2 linked regions of the Drosophila melanogaster genome follow. The protein of the gene in region 1 interacts with the protein of each later gene in a pairwise test. Each region holds a gene or a part of one and is shown on either strand. Other genes may lie near its edges. The genes, in order: Rev1 and PolH.

The links.
Region 2: the proteins of Rev1 (region 1) and PolH interact in a two-hybrid assay, tested with the Drosophila melanogaster proteins (one study listed by BioGRID).

What each region holds. Positions count from the first base shown.
Region 1 is NT_037436.4:651,899-659,980, reverse strand, and holds Rev1 (DNA polymerase Rev1), read right to left. Parts: upstream 5,619-8,082; 5' UTR 5,540-5,618; coding exon 5,504-5,539; intron 5,446-5,503; coding exon 4,088-5,445; intron 4,034-4,087; coding exon 3,751-4,033; intron 3,689-3,750; coding exon 3,265-3,688; intron 3,203-3,264; coding exon 3,149-3,202; intron 3,084-3,148; coding exon 2,396-3,083; intron 2,332-2,395; coding exon 2,187-2,331; 3' UTR 2,010-2,186; downstream 1-2,009. Other genes in the region: MED30 (mediator complex subunit 30), read left to right, coding at 5,971-6,927; CG3402 (uncharacterized protein), read left to right, coding at 7,217-7,270, 7,409-7,537, 7,705-7,893. UniProt on the Drosophila melanogaster protein: Deoxycytidyl transferase involved in DNA repair. Transfers a dCMP residue from dCTP to the 3'-end of a DNA primer in a template-dependent reaction.
Region 2 is NT_037436.4:21,936,851-21,944,583, reverse strand, and holds PolH (DNA polymerase eta), read left to right. Parts: upstream 1-2,771; 5' UTR 2,772-2,814; coding exon 2,815-3,246; intron 3,247-3,300; coding exon 3,301-3,797; intron 3,798-3,855; coding exon 3,856-5,584; 3' UTR 5,585-5,950; downstream 5,951-7,733. Other genes in the region: CG14562 (uncharacterized protein), read right to left, coding at 1-467, 526-838; SLC22A family member, read right to left, coding at 6,067-6,264, 6,330-7,281, 7,342-7,445. UniProt on the Drosophila melanogaster protein: DNA polymerase specifically involved in the DNA repair by translesion synthesis (TLS). Plays an important role in translesion synthesis, where the normal high-fidelity DNA polymerases cannot proceed and DNA synthesis stalls.

The sequences.
Region 1 (8,082 bases):
GCCGAAACTGCAGCAACCTCGGGCACTATCACCATCTGAGTCTCAAATCCTCGGCAGAGCCAGCATACACACTTGCATAGGGCTCAAACCATATAGCAGCATATAGCAAAGCTCTGGCAGGGATCTTGTCGCATAGTCACGTCCGATAATGCTGACAGTTTCCAGCTGCTCCGGCAGCTACTGTTGTTCGTTCGGCTGACTTCACGAGCGTGGGAATAAACCTGGCAGCACGCTGAGACTCCGACTTGGCCTCATGTTGCTACCGACTGCCCACACTCTCCCATATGTCCACCGATATTTGTACATCTCCTGCAGTAAACTGCAGTTTTTCTTAATATCTGTCAAGTCACTTTACTAAAATCTATCGTTGTATTTAAGTTGACAAAGTGTGGTAACCCCGCCCACTTTCTTAGCTTTTGGGAAACTAATAATGAAATGTTTGCAAGAGGGAGTGCACTAAGCTGTATCTGTCTATTATAAAACGTTCATAGGGATAGCCCATGCAATGAAAACTCAGCACTCCCAAGAATCTGGGCACCTGCCCTCACCACATCACTCCACTCCAAACTTAAGCAACCCAAACCAGCCGCCGTGGAGTCGTTGACAAATCGCGTCGGCAGCCAACGAGTCTATCAAGGCTTGACAACATTTGCATCTGGTCCGGGCCAACTTGAGATAACTCGACCACATCATGGGGCAAGTTGCAGCGGCTGCTGCATGTTGCTGCTACCGAGTTCCGCGACGACAGGATGCATAAAATTTATGAAACAACGACGCCTTTTGCGCACATAATTAAATCAGACAAAGCGTAGCTCATGTAAATCCCGAGTGCCGGGTGCAGCCCATTTCGTCCCATCCCATCACATCCCATCCAGAGTCAAGCCAACCCACAGAGACACCAGCCACATCGACACCGGATGCTGAGCCAGAAATGCAGCTTGACTATTTTTAATTACCGGGCAACATCTGCTCCATCTTCAGCTCCAGCTGCCAGCCAAAGTGGGGTGGCCAGTGGTCAGTGATGGACATTGTGAGAATTTATTGGCCAGGTGGGATACGAGTTATATTGTACATGTCGGATAAACAATTACTTAGCTGAAGTACCTTGGAAATAGGTAATGATTTCTAATGCAAAATAAAAATCTAATAAGGATTAATAATATTATTTATAATTCTTTACCTATCATTTCATGTATATGGTACTAAGTCCATAGGACACTCATTCACTAACTCTACCCATATGGATTCTAAAAATAGGTACATATCTTCGTATGATCCCAAGTTTTCCCACCTCTGCCTTCCTGGCATGAGCACTGTAATTGTTATGGTTGTCATGCGGTTGCGGATGGGATGGGCTGGGATTGGGATTGGGATTGAGATTGGGGCAGGTGGTCGCTGACTATTCGAAAAGAATTGAGAACACATAAAGTAAAATCAATAAAAAATTTACCAAAAATGTGTTCTACACTTTCATAAAATATATTTTTTATATTGATCTAGCCCTAAACAAAAATCCTTATAATGTAGATTGCTTTATGAAACCTAAGGCTAATTTTTTTGAGTGTAGGTATGCCGCATGCGAATCAATTACATATTACAGCCGTCGCAGCGATTAACTGCAGTGACTTTAGAGAACTGTTCAACACTAACCTGTTCGAATCGATGCCGCTTTCATTAAAGTGCAAATTATGACTTGCCAGTTCCGCCAGGTGTTGTGCCCGCCTGGCCTATTTGTCTTGAGTGGCCGAGCCTTGGTGGGAAAGAGCCACACTGGGGCGTTTGGTTGAGCCACCCGGCGGTGGCTAAGATGCAGCTCTGCCCTTTGCGTATGAAGTTATCAACGCCATCGTCGCAGCGGCCACAGCCCCACTTTATTTACCGCACTTGCAATAATAATTGCTACCTGTCCCCGAAGTTGTAGATGAATAGGAGCATGCTCTATATCTATATATAGGATTTAGTAAGATATGGAAAAGTATTAGAAGTGTAGGTTACAACAAGTCAGTTATATGGTATGGATTGAATTTTCTTTACCAGAATGTTTTATTTTTGGCTCGAATTAATGGATGGCTTATAAACTAATGGCTCATTAACATTATCAGCTGGCCGCATTCATAGCTTGGCGTTACATTATTATAATAACTATTCTCAATGACACCCAATATCCGTTCTAAATGTCCAGGGTCTTAGGAGCACTTTATGCAACGAATGTACTCAATGAATAACAGACTGTAACCCTCAATCGTAAGCATTTGGTTCTGGATACTCTCCTCAATGTGCTTATAAGCCACGTGCCAGCAGCAAGAGCTGCTGCGTTTCATATTGATGATCCTGCAAATGAAAGGTAGCAAAAATGTTGAGCAGAAATTAAAAGTGTTTTGATGGAACTATTTACCGGCACCAATACTTCATCACATCGCACACGTGGTCCAATTGGTCGTTCTTAATCATACGAGAAACCTGCTTGAGAATAAGATCCACGTCATTCGGCTTTGGCACCTCCTCGCGACTGACCCAATCGTTCAGCAAGTCCTTGTAGTTGTCCCCCATCAGCAGCTCGGGCATCTCCACGGGATGTGAGATGAGCTTCAGAATATGGGGATTCACGAAATCAGGCAGATCATCAATGTAGTCTGCCACAATCTGATCCGATCGGATGTAATGCTCTTGCTCCTTGCGCTCCTTGCGCTTTTGCAATCTAGCCACAGCCGCCCGGGAAGTCGATGGCTTAAGATCGGTGGCCTTTAGCGGGCTCACATTGGTGGTGACATATGGATTTAATAAAGGCGGTGAGCGGAGGGTCGGATATTGTGGAGAACGATATCCATCGTACTCGGCAATGCAGAGGTGTTCCTCCCTATTGGCAATCACCTCGAGGCGTATATCCTCCGGCAGCTGAGCCAAAACATCCTCATCAAGTTTTGGTACAAGGGATAATGGCCGAGTTATCGGCTTTGAAGTTCCTCTTTGACTCCTGTCTTCGGTTACCGATTTCCTGCTCACCGCTGCTGCCGTGAGCATACTCAAAACATTCCTGGGCTCACGGGGCTTAGGTTTATTTTCAAACACGAGTGGTTTGTTGACTGCAGATAGATGATATACAGGTCTTAAATAAGTTGGGAAGTAAATTATTTTTCAGCTTAAATACCTTTATCATCGCCTATGGACTTATCGCCAACTGCTCCTTGGGGTATTGGTTTATCTAAAGGAAACGTGTACGACATTTTAATAAAATCGGTATACAAAATTGGCCGGATTAAATACCTTTCCTCATTTCGGACATTTTGCCGAACATCTCCTTGATATTGTTCTCCTTCCGAACTTCGTTGGCATCCTCCAGCCTAGTGAGATGTATGCCTAGCCCACGCAATTCGTCGGGCGGTATATCGGCGTCTTTCATCAGGTCGAGGACCACCGTGGTGATTACATTTACATCATCCGTGGCATATTTGATCAGAGAGGACTTGTTGATTATATCGCAAACTCCGTGGCCCATGTACTTGGAGGTTTCGACTGGCGCTTCGGCGGCGCGCACCATTATCTTCAGATTAATCGATCTAGCTTTGCGCCTTATCTCAACCAGACGCTTAGTAACCTCTTCGCTGAGCTGACACAGAAATTGTTCGCACTCGACCGAGTTGGTAAAGCGAATACCAAAGTTCATTTCGGCAGAAACTGTTTTGCGGATCTAAACGAAAAGTACGGTATTAGAAACAAATATGTGGGACGCAATAAAATCTGCACACCAACCTGCTCGTAAGCCAAAGGACGATCATCAATTCCTCTGCAGTTCTGGAACAAATTCTGTCCAAGTTTCTTGCCCAGCACTTTTTCCATCTTCTCCAACGTTGTATTCTGAACATCTCCACAATTATTCAGTCCCGCCTGTTTGAGCTTATGGCTTATGCTGCTGCCCACACCGGGCAGTAAATCCAAAGACATCGGCGCCATATAGGCCAAAATATCATTGCTCGAATCCAACAAGAACTGGCCATTCGGCTTGGCCTCCTTGGTGGCCATACGCGCCAGCAACCTATAATATATATAATATATATTATAATTGTAAAAGGCTTATTTGGTCTCTCACTTGTTGCCTGCCACTCCTGCTGAGCACGGACATCCCGTTTTGGAGTAAACCTCCTGCCTGAGGTGACTCACAAAAGCCATCACATCTACATTGAGTTCGTGTGCCAGATCGGTTAGCTCCACAAACATCTCGTCGCAACTCACAGCCTCGATATTTAAGGTATACTGAGCCACTGTGTCGTACAGAGTGAAAGCCACCTCCTTGTAGCCTTCGAAGTCGTACGGAATCGTCTTTAACTCCGGGCACAGCTTCAGGGCCTGGCCCACAAACATGCCATTGCGGATACCCTTTTCCCGCGCCTCGTAGCTGCAGGAGGCGATCTCCGAGAGCGACATTTTCTTGTCGAAGCCCGAGCGCACCTTTTCCGCCTTGTCTCCATCGTGGAAATGGTGCTCGAAGCGCTGGGCAAAGAGTTCCAGCTCTGCCTTTCGGTCCGCCTGCGGATGCACCGGTACATCGGTGGCTGCGTTACCTCCCTTCGAGTGGGTCACCGCAATCGGCAGCCCACGAAGCTCAGGACGGGTTCTTAGGCCCACGGACACAAAGAAGCAGTCCATGTCAATGTGCATCACATAGCGTTCCAAACAATTGTGGTGTGAATTAGCAAGGGACTTCAGTGTCTCTCTTTTGGGAAAGCCCTGGGTACCATGCTTCTGACGCAACCGGCAGACATACTGCTTGAAACCCGCGCCTAGAGTGGCGATGTGATGCAGTCGTGAGTTCTTATAGAATTCACTTAAGAAATTTGGATCCGCGGCTGTGCGAGCGGTGGTGGAGTTATTCGAGGTGGTGGATAAGTTTGTGATCTTGCTCTCTGATGCACTGGCCTCCTTTTCCGGCGAAGTGGCCACAGCCTGCTGCAAATTCTTGAGAATGCCACCCAACTCCATTTGCGTTTCATCTTTTGTAGAGTCTACTTCCACTTCCGCTTTATCTTTCGGCGGCTCCACATCCGATTTGCTCTCATTTGCGCCGTTGTCTTTGGGTTTCCCAAAGATGAGCATGGGCTGCGATGTCTTCTGGTTCGTGTACAGCAGATAGGGTTTGTAGTCTACTATCTTCTTTTTCTCCAGACAATCCACCACCCACTTGGCGCTGATGAACTTGCTGAGATTCATGTTCCTGACCTTCACATCGGGCAGAACGGAGGCTATTATGTACGTCGTGTGGCTCCTTTCGTAGTGGTGAAAGGTCCCGCCGTGCACCATCATAATACGCTTCAGTTCATCCGCCGAAGGGTCAGTCCGGCCGTTCACAAATATAGAAATTCCTTGGAAGAGGTCCGACTTGCGAAATGGATCGCTGGCGGCAGCGAACTGCTCCTCAAGTTTAGATTTCTTGGCTTCGAAGTAGCCGCCCTGAAAAGAGCAGGTTTGGTTTATGTACAATGTTTTTAGCATTTTATCTACATCTTACCCATTCACTAAAACCATTATCCTCATCGCGGGTCATTTTTAATCGTTTAAAAGCATGAAAAAGCCAAAATTGAATTCCACCAATACCGCTCAGCTGACACACCTATGTTCATTATTTTTGCGCGCATGTGGCAACTCTCTTTTCGCATGGACGCATTCCTAACGAGTTTTGCAGGGGGCTATTATTACCATTTTGGATTTGACTAAGAATTTAAATTTTAGTAATCACCAAATAAAAACTTAGTAAAAACACTCAAATTTATCTAGTGAAGATAATCTAGATCTAGATCTAGATCTATCATTTAGGATTGGTAATTTAAAACCCGCGACTTCACAGCTGTTTGCGAGCATACAGTTTCAGCGTTATCTAACACTATCCGTTTTGTTTTATGTTATCGACAACAGTGTCATTTGCCAAAGTTTATCGTTCTGCGTGATATTTTGTTTATTTTATAAGAACGTTGCAAAATGTGGAAATACGGTCAAAACCAGGGTAATCAGGGACCATCGAGCGGCGGCGGAGGAGGCGGGGGCCCCAACATGATGCCGATGGGTGGATTTGGCATGCAGCACGGCAATATGCAGCAAATGCACATGTCGCCTCAACATCAACAGCAGCAACAACAAATGGGCATGATGGGCGGCCCGGGTAGCATGCAGATGAATCCCCAAGGACCTGGAGGTCCTGGCGGCCTGATGCCCGGCATGTCTCCGCAGCACCAGATGCAGCAACAGCAGCAGCAGCAGATGATGCAGCAGCAAATGATGGTGCCCCAACAAGGAGTGGGCGTCGGAGTGGGAATGGGCGGTGGTGTGGGAATGGGCGGAGGGGGAGTGGTTCCACAGCAGCAGCAACAGCAGCCCCAACAAAACATGCCCCAGCAGAACATTCCCCAACAGCAACAGCAACTCAATCCGGTCGCAGGAATTCCACCCGGTGGAGCCGGGGGCAGCAACAATATGCTGGCTATCTCGCAGCAAAATCCTCACAAGGAGATTAACATTGTGCAGCTGTCCCGTCTCGGTCAGGAAACGGTGCAGGATATCGCCTCGCGCTTCCAGGAGGTCTTCGCCTCCCTCAAGGGCATCCAGCCCACCTCGCACAGGGAAAACAGCTCCGAGAAGAAGGTGCAGGAGTACTTCCGCACCATCCGGCTGCTCTTCAAGAGGGTGCGCATCATCTACGAGAAGTGCAACGACGCCGGAATGGATTACATGAGCGCCGAGAGTCTGATTCCCTACCGCGATGAGCCGGAACCGAGAATCGAGCCCTCGCTGTGCGATGAGTACCGGAAAGTCCTGCAGGAGAACCATGAACTCATAGAGACCGTCAAGCTGAAGAACAGGCAGCTACGCGAGATCATCGATCGGACACGCATCATCATCTGGGAGATCAACACCATGCTGGCCATGCGGCGCTCATAGGCATAGGGACTCTAGATGTATAATATAGTATAAATAAAACTAAGAAACATTGCCAAACAGCAATCGTAAAGACCTTCATGTTTTTATTTTATATGAAAAGTATATATTTAAAGTCAGCGGCAGTCGCTGGCAACAATCGCATTATTGCTGCAACCTATCGATTTTTCGCCATCGATAAATGATTGCGAGGAAGAAGCAGAGTTTGTTGTGGGCGACAATCTTAAGACGAATTTACCAGCGGAATCTTAGCTAATCTAGCAAATTAAAGTTAGTCAAAGCATCGGTAGACATGGCGAAAATGGCATTCCAGCACCAGGCCGGCACGGCGATGGAGTGCTTGAGCGTAAGTTGCGAACGAACTAAACCTGGCTCACACGCACAGTCGCCTGTGTGTGTATAGGTGAAATTGGGTCGCTGGAGCAAAAAAGACAAGCCACTTTCAAATTCGAGTGATTGATGAAATGTGACTCACAATTCCCAGATTCCCATCACGCTGCACAAGGAGAAGGACTACGACCAGGAGGGGCGCGAGATCCTCAAGTGCGGCTTCAAGATCGGCGGCGGAATCGACCAGGACTACAAGAAAAGCCCTCAGGGATACACGGATTATGTGAGAAACTTGGGAAACACTAGAACCTAATTCCGGGCATAAAAGAGAGCTTCAATCTTAAAGCTAATAATTATAGCTCTCCTTGAAAGTCGGGGAATTTAGTTTTAGTTCGGTATCTTAAGAGCAGTTTCAATGTTACAATGTTACGTTTTCCCCTTTGAAAATAGGGCATCTATGTGACCGAGGTGCACGAGGGCAGTCCCGCCGCCCGAGCAGGTCTGCGGATCCACGACAAGATCCTGCAGTGCAACGGCTACGACTTCACCATGGTCACCCACAAAAAGGCCGTGAGCTACATCCGGAAAAACCCGATACTCAACATGCTGGTGGCCCGCAAGGGCGTGACCTCCACATAAGTGGTGCTCGGAGCAGGGTCTCCACAGACTACAGCAGTATTTAAGCGGCATTTAAACTATCCCCTCCACCGCCCCTCTGGGCTACGGATCTCTTTGCCTCCTGCAACCTATGCGAATACTTAGAACTACCATATTATACATATTAATTCATTACGTATGCATATCGCACACACATGTAGCCAGACGTAA
Region 2 (7,733 bases), about 21 Mb from region 1:
GATTACGTTCTCGGCTAGACACAGACGCACAGGGACGAAGTTTAGTTGCACGAAGAACTTAAAGGGCAGAAAGTCGATGAAAGCGAACCTAGGCTGCGTGTTCTCATGAACGCACTGGGTGTATTCGTAGAGGTAAATCCTGTCACGACTGCTCACAATGATGTTTCCGGATGTCTGGCAGCATTGCACCAGCTCCGGCGGACTGCGCAACGGCAGCTCAATCACATCGATGCTCTCCACCAACGGTGTCTTGGGCGTGGTCATCGAAGCTATTCGAATGGTAATGGGCAGCTCGTTTAGCCGGCTGTCCGGGAACTTCCAGAAGTTGGCGTAGATGCGTACGAACATCTTCGTGTCGTCCTCAGAGCAGACTGTATTGCTGTTGCTGCTTGATGTGCAGCTAATGGTGGAGGAGGAGTGCACCGGACTGCCCGCCTGTTCCTTTTCAAGAGTAAGTAGGTATTTGCCTGAGGAAGATTCATCTTTAGTAGCGTTTTCAGATACATATACATAATATATACTCACCAGCTTCACAGTAAATAAGTTGCACCACTTCTCCCACCGTGGCCAGCGTGCTCCTGCTCGGCGTCCTCTCATCACCAGCGGTGGTGGTGGATTCTCCTGCCGTCTCATTGGATTGTCCAACGTCCTCTGGTGCCGTTCTTGTGTGGTCCTCAGATTGAGCCTGCTTGGCACCTATGTCGTAGATCTCGATGAACTGTTCAGCACTGCTGATGGCTATGCGGTTGTTCCCGATAAGGCTGGCCGCCAGGATGTCACCGTTGAGGGCATACGTCTGCTGCCTGGCAAAGTTGTAGGCCTGCAGGATCTTCACCATGGTGGCTCTCTACAAAAAAGACGATGAATTCTTTTTTTACGGCACTCTAGAATTACAAACTAAGCCCTCAGCTTAGTGGAGTGACTTCATCGCCGGACGTACACAGACTGATGGCCTCACCGTGAATCAGCCACTAGAGCAGGGAGTTCTCTGACTGAGCGTGGGACAGAGAAAGGGAGAAGTCCGAGTGACAGTGGATTGGCGGACCGCTTAGCGGGGCTCAAGTGGTTCTTATTTGGGCATGTGAACCATTAGCATAATTGTGCGCTTATACTGGGGTTAGGGATCGGAAGAGTGGATGTGCCGATGAGGCCTAAGGCTAGCGCATATGGGCAAGCTAGGCTAGGATAGGGCAGTTAAAAAGTGAAGCACTTAAATTTAATAAGAGTTAGCCGCAGAATATTTCGGGATTGTAGATAAAGTCGCGATCAAAATTAAATCTTTAATCGGTAAAAATTTTGTTAATCTACGATATATGTATGTATACTATCTGGAGTCACAAAAAGTAGGGAAGCAAATAAAACTGTGATAAATACATTTTAAATTGAAAATCCAAAAATATCACTCGCAGTACACCTTTTTCATTCACCATCCGTCTTTCAGAATCATAGATATGCAATCGAACTTTTGAACACCTTTTTTAAAAGAGAGAGTGGTACATTTGGTAAAACAAGAACCCGTCCCAACGTCGTGCGGCATCAAGTATTCCAATAGGTCAGTGCTGCACCTTTACTTCAGGTGGAAGTCCTGCGTTGTTGTATTGTACGCTTTGACCATAGAGTAAACAGACAGGAAATTAGGTCACGATAGTATACAAAAACACGCCCTTCCTGATTTCCGCCGCCCACCACCACCGGCATTCTATGAGGCGATTAAAGTGGGCCCGGTATCCCAACCCCGATTCCGAGTAGCTATACGTGAGTTAGCCCAATTAAGCCATTGGACATTCGCTGGACATACCACTCGGCGCATCAATCAAAACAGCCGGCCAGGAGGCGGACACGGAAGTGGCATAGCCGGAAATAGACAAGGATTGAGATTTATTTCTGGTCGCTCGGTCAAATCAATAATTCCCGCGTAATCCGTGCGTTAACCCAAATGAACTTGGGAAATGGAGAAGCCAGAACATGCAAATGTGTGTTACGGCGGGGAATGGGGTCACTAAGAGATGTGTGTGCGTTTTCAGTTGCATTTTGGCAGCGGCTTATATGGAAAAATCAATATCTAAGCATTTTGTTAGAAGGTGCCGCTGGAAACTTGGCAAATAATTTACTCTTTGGCAATGTCTTACGTTTAAACTCGTTTTATTATTCCATACAGAAAAACAGAAGACAGGGTTTAAGGATTTCTGAAATGCATTCTTCTTCGGCGTAGATGTTCCGACAATATATGTTACTTATTATTAGGTGGTAGTTATGCCACGTAAATATAACTCCCAGGACTCCCCGGACTGCACATAATATTTACTCGCGTTTGTTTATATTATTTCCGAGTGAGAAACGACAAACTATAAAATATCCAATATAGTGTGACCAGGTTTTGCTCTAATGCGAAGTACGGATTGGGTAGAGATAAGTATTTTTCAAACTACGCTAGACTACAAAGCATCGATACAAGGGTACGTTATTTAATACTCTCTAATTTTGAATTTCTAAATAGCTTAGTAATAAGAGAGTCTTTAAAAGTATAAAGCTCCACTACTATCGAAAATATGTTTTCAACAAAATTCTTTACTTTTACTTTAAGGAATATCTAACTAAGAAATGATTTATATCGAAGATATAACACAACTGCTTTGATATGTGTTAAAGAGCATATTTTTATTATTATTATTCCGAATTCTTTTATCAGATTTAAATATGGGAAACACTTTAATGTATTCAGTATTCAAAAATGCATCGGTATTTTAAGAAGTCCCCGCCACGGCCACACTCCTGGCGCGCAGTGAAATTCGCGCAATAATACGAAATGAAATCATGTCCAGCGCACGCAGCCATGTCAGCATGCAGAACAAGTACGACCGCGTGGTCCTGCTGGTGGACATGGACTGCTTCTTTTGCCAGGTGGAGGAGAAGCAGCATCCGGAATACCGCAACCGCCCGCTGGCCGTCGTCCAGTACAATCCCTGGCGAGGTGGCGGCATCATAGCAGTGAACTACGCCGCTCGTGCCAAGGGAGTCACTCGCCACATGCGCGGCGACGAGGCGAAGGACCTGTGTCCGGAGATCGTGCTCTGCCAGGTGCCGAATATCCGGGAGAAGGCCGATACTAGCAAGTACCGCGATGCCGGCAAGGAGGTGGCCAACGTGCTGCAGCGATTTACGCAGCTCCTGGAGCGCGCTTCCGTGGATGAGGCGTACTTGGACATAACGGAGACCGTTAACCATCGCATGCAGCAGATGCAGAGTGTAAGCTCTGGCACATAATTTTAAAGCGTTTTATTATTATTTTCCTCGTTGCAGGGAGCCTTTGCATTGCAACCGCAGGAACTGGTGAACACCTTTGCTGTGGGCTATCCCAGCATTGGCGACTACGTCAACAAGATAACAAATCGCTTCGCCAATCCCTACATGGACGACGAACGCTACCAGATGTCCTACGACCAAAACGACCTTCCCGCCGTCCGACAAAGCGACATTCGGCTTCTTATTGGAGCCTCTGTGGCAGGTGAAGTCCGCGCGGCTGTAAAAAAAGAGACAGGCTACGAGTGCTCGGCTGGCATAGCGCACAATAAGATCCTGGCCAAGTTGGCAGCTGGAATGAACAAGCCCAACAAGCAGACTATTTTGCCGTTGACGGAGACCGCCAGCCTCTTCGACTCCTTGCCTGTTGGCAAGATCAAGGGGCTGGGTGGCAAATTCGGTGAGGTGGTGTGTGAGACATTAGGCATAAAGTTCATGGGCCAGGTGGTCAAGTTTTCGGAGGTAGATCTGCAGCGCAAGTTTGACGAGAAGAATGGGTGGGTCCCTTAAGAGGAGTAGACCACGTTCAAAGTAACTTATTTCCTCTTATTCCAGAACCTGGCTATTTAACATCTCTCGCGGCATAGACCTGGAAGCCGTGACTCCCCGCTTCTATTCGAAAAGCATTGGCTGCTGTAAAAAGTTTCCGGGTCGAAATAACATTACGGGGTTGAAAACCCTTCAACATTGGCTTGGTGAGCTTTCCTCCGAGATCAACGACCGCCTTGAGAAGGACTTCATCGAGAACAATCGCAGGGCCAAACATATGGTGGTGCAATATGTGCAGGACATTGACGGCGAGGAGGTGGCCAGCTCCCGCTCGACTGCTCTCAGAGATTACGACCAGGAGTCCATCGTAAGGCTTTCTCTAGACCTAATCAAGGCAAACACTAAAACGTTTCTGCGTCCTGGTAGCGAGTCTGCTTTAAACAATGCTATCAAGTTCCTTGGCATTAGTGTTGGCAAGTTCGAAACCGTCTCTAGTGGGCAAAACAAGCTGCAGGAGATGTTTGCTAACCAGGCTGCCAAGAAACGAAGGGTAAGTGGAGATGAGCCAGGGCAACTGCCTAAAGTTGAAATGGAGAAAAAGCAGAAGCAAACGGACGAATTTAAGATGAAGAGCTTCTTTGCAAACTATTTGCAAGGAGCTAAAAAAGAGGATGCGAAAGCAGACGGCATTTCTGCGAATCCCTTGGCTGCTGCAGCAGGTGCTCCAAACAAGAATTTCGTAGAGGAATACAAACATAAGCTTCATGCGGCCGTAAGGACTGAAGGAACTGTTCTCACATCAACACCAGCGGAGTTCAAGGAAAGCTTTTTTTCACAGTACCTAAAACAACAAAAAAAGACAGGACAGCAAGGGTCGGTTACATCGAGGGAGGACTCCTTAGATGTGCAGGAGCTGGCCGAGGAATTGGACGCCATTGAGGCTGACAATTCGAAAGATTTTGAAGAAGACACTGAAGAGGAGACGGAGTTAACTAGTGATACCCACATGTCTAAGCCTGAAGGACAGTCATCCGATGCCGGACAAGAACAGGATCCAAACACCTTGAATGATTCAACAGGGAATGACTTATACGTTGAAACTGGTATTGTGCCTCCCACGCTTACTGAAGACGAATTGAAGCCTTCAACATCAAAAAGAAAGTTCGATGAGATCGAAAGTTCTGTAAGTAATTACAAGGAGTGTTACGTAGAGTTTGCAGTACCCAACCTTCGCACCGATATCTTGCCTACTATCAAATGCGATCAGTGCGGAGCAAACATTCCCGACGAAGTTAAGTCCCTACAAACACATAGAGACCATCACTTCGCCCAGGAACTAAGCCGAACGCTAAGAAGCACCGAGCGGGAAGAGAGGACGCAGAGCCGACAGAAGATATCTCTTAAGCCGACGCCACCCAAAAAGAGCAAGAAGACGGCTGGTTCTGGTAGCAGTTCCTACAGTACGGCACCACCGAGTAACAGCATAACCAAGTTCTTCCGCGCCAAACCAACTCAGGAGCAAGCGCCCAGTGATCCACAGATGAATCAGTGCCCCGAGTGTAAGGCTTTCATCAAGTGTGTAGACATGCCGGAACACTTAGACTACCACGTAGCCAGAAACCTTCAACGTGAACTAAACCAGCAGGATCTGCGAACTCGAACCGCAGCTCTGAATAAAGAAAAAATATCTCCAGTTCAGCCAAAGAAACAATCTCAGAAGAAACTGAACTCAACCATTTCTGCATCTTCAAGCGGAACAAAGACAATTGCCCAGTTTTTCAGCCAAAGCAATTAGAGAAACCCTTACACCGCTCCAAGTATTTGAACCTGTATAAGTACCTACGAATGGACCACAGACAAATTTACTTCACTTTAAGATTAAAACATTTTCACATTCAATTCCAAATTAAAAAACAATAATAATTTTTTGCTAGCACATATCCTAGTTATTAAAATCTCAATCTGGCTCTGGACAGCAAATTGATTAGGATTGTTTATTTCTTTTTTTTACTGCTGTTTATTATTTTTTTTTTCAAATCGAGTAATGAAACTCTTAGATTTAATTTTTTTTGTTTTATTTTTCCAATTTTAGGCTTAAGTATTAATGTTGATCATTACCATTACCATCCATCCGTTAATTAATAAAACACAACGCTCTGTCAATGCTAAATATTTTATATGTATAGTATGGTTTGTTCTTAGCGTTATAACACATTTGAAGAGAAATGTATTTGTCTTTGTATTTGCAGGCTGCCTTAAAATAAGATTACGTTAGAACTACTGCGCTTGAGTGGCCGTGACGACTAGATCAAGATCCTTGCTCTTCGATTGCTTCTTGACGCCTATGGCGTCCGCTTCCTGCACTGTTGTAGGTAAAACTACGTTGGTGGTCTCTGGAAAGAACAGCGTGAGCAGGCCGCTCACGATGGCGGCGCCGGCGAAGAGCATGGCAGGAGCATTGGCATAATACTTGGCCTGTGGAGAAAGGGAAAGGAAGCACTTAGATATAACAGGAGATCCTTGTAGCTTTGAGCACCCACCAGAAGAGGCGTCTGCGGGGCCAGCATGGAACCAAACCTGCCCATCATGGAGCAGAAGCTAAGCAGACTGTTTCTCAGATTCGTGGGATAGATCTCTGAGGCGAAGAAATAGAGCACCTGGAAGCTGGCAGTGATGGTCAGTTTGCCAACAAGAAATAGCACCAATTGAAGCACTGGCTGATCCGCGCCGGTGAATATCGTTCCGATGCAGCAAAGACCGCTGGCTAGCATCAGCCCGCAGAGGGAGTACCGCCGGCCGAAACGGTCCATGATGAGCAGGGGCATGAAGAAGCCTGGAATCTCAACCAGGGCGATGTAAGCGAAGTTATTGTACTTGTCTCCATCCAACAGCACAACATTAAGGCTCAATCCGTAGTAGACCAGCACGTGGACAATCCAGCAGAGGGAGCAGTTAGCAATGCGCCACTTGAAGTTCTTGAAAGCCTCTCGTATGGGGAAACGGCTTTCCGACGACTGCTGCAACTTGTCCCGATTGGCCAGCACAAGCTTGTCCAGCACGCTCTCCGGCAGCTCGCGCTTGTTCACATGGGCGGCTCGCCGAAGGATATTCTTGGCCCGCTCCTCCTTGCCCTGACTAAGCAGCCAGCGCACACTCTCCGGCAGGATCCAAAAGTAGGCCAGCAAGATCAGCGAGGGCCCGTACGTGATGCGCAGTAGGATCCGCCAATCGTGGAACGCCTTGGCGGACATCGCGAGCAGCACCTCACCCACCGCGTAAAAGACCGTAATCACACTGCACGCCAGCACGCGTCGCTTGGGTCCCACTAGCTCGATCCCGATCACGAAACAGGTGGAGTACAACGTACTGCTGGTCATGTTGTCCAGGAACTCGAACACAAGGAACCAACCGTAGCTGGGCGAGAAGGAGCGAATTACGCCAAGCACGGCTCCCAATATTCCGCCGAGAGCGATTGAGAAACTCCGTCCATATCTGTTTAAAATGATGTGTGATGATCAAGGAGCATAAGGTTAAGGTGTGGTGTACCCTTACCGATCCGCCACAAAGCCCCCGATGGGAATGCCGAAGAATTGTCCCAAGTTGTTTATGGTTCCCACCATAGATAGCTTCCATTCATCATCGCAGAAAATGCCAAACTGCAATGGAACTGTATTTCAAATCTTTTGTCGCTCACACGTACTTTGAATTGAGAATAGTTGAATTCGCTCATTTTGAAAATTCACGTTCTTAGCAATGGCGTACACGAAATATTTATTAAGCTACGAGAGGTATTTCGAAGTTGGAGGTCTGAGCTCAAAATTATGTTCTGAAATACTGTACAAAATTCCTTTTTTTCCTAGTTCTTTGAATGCTCTTACCGTAACTGATTTATGCCGAGCATAGATCAACCTTGTGAAAAATTAATGGAAATTGGATTCAGTCAA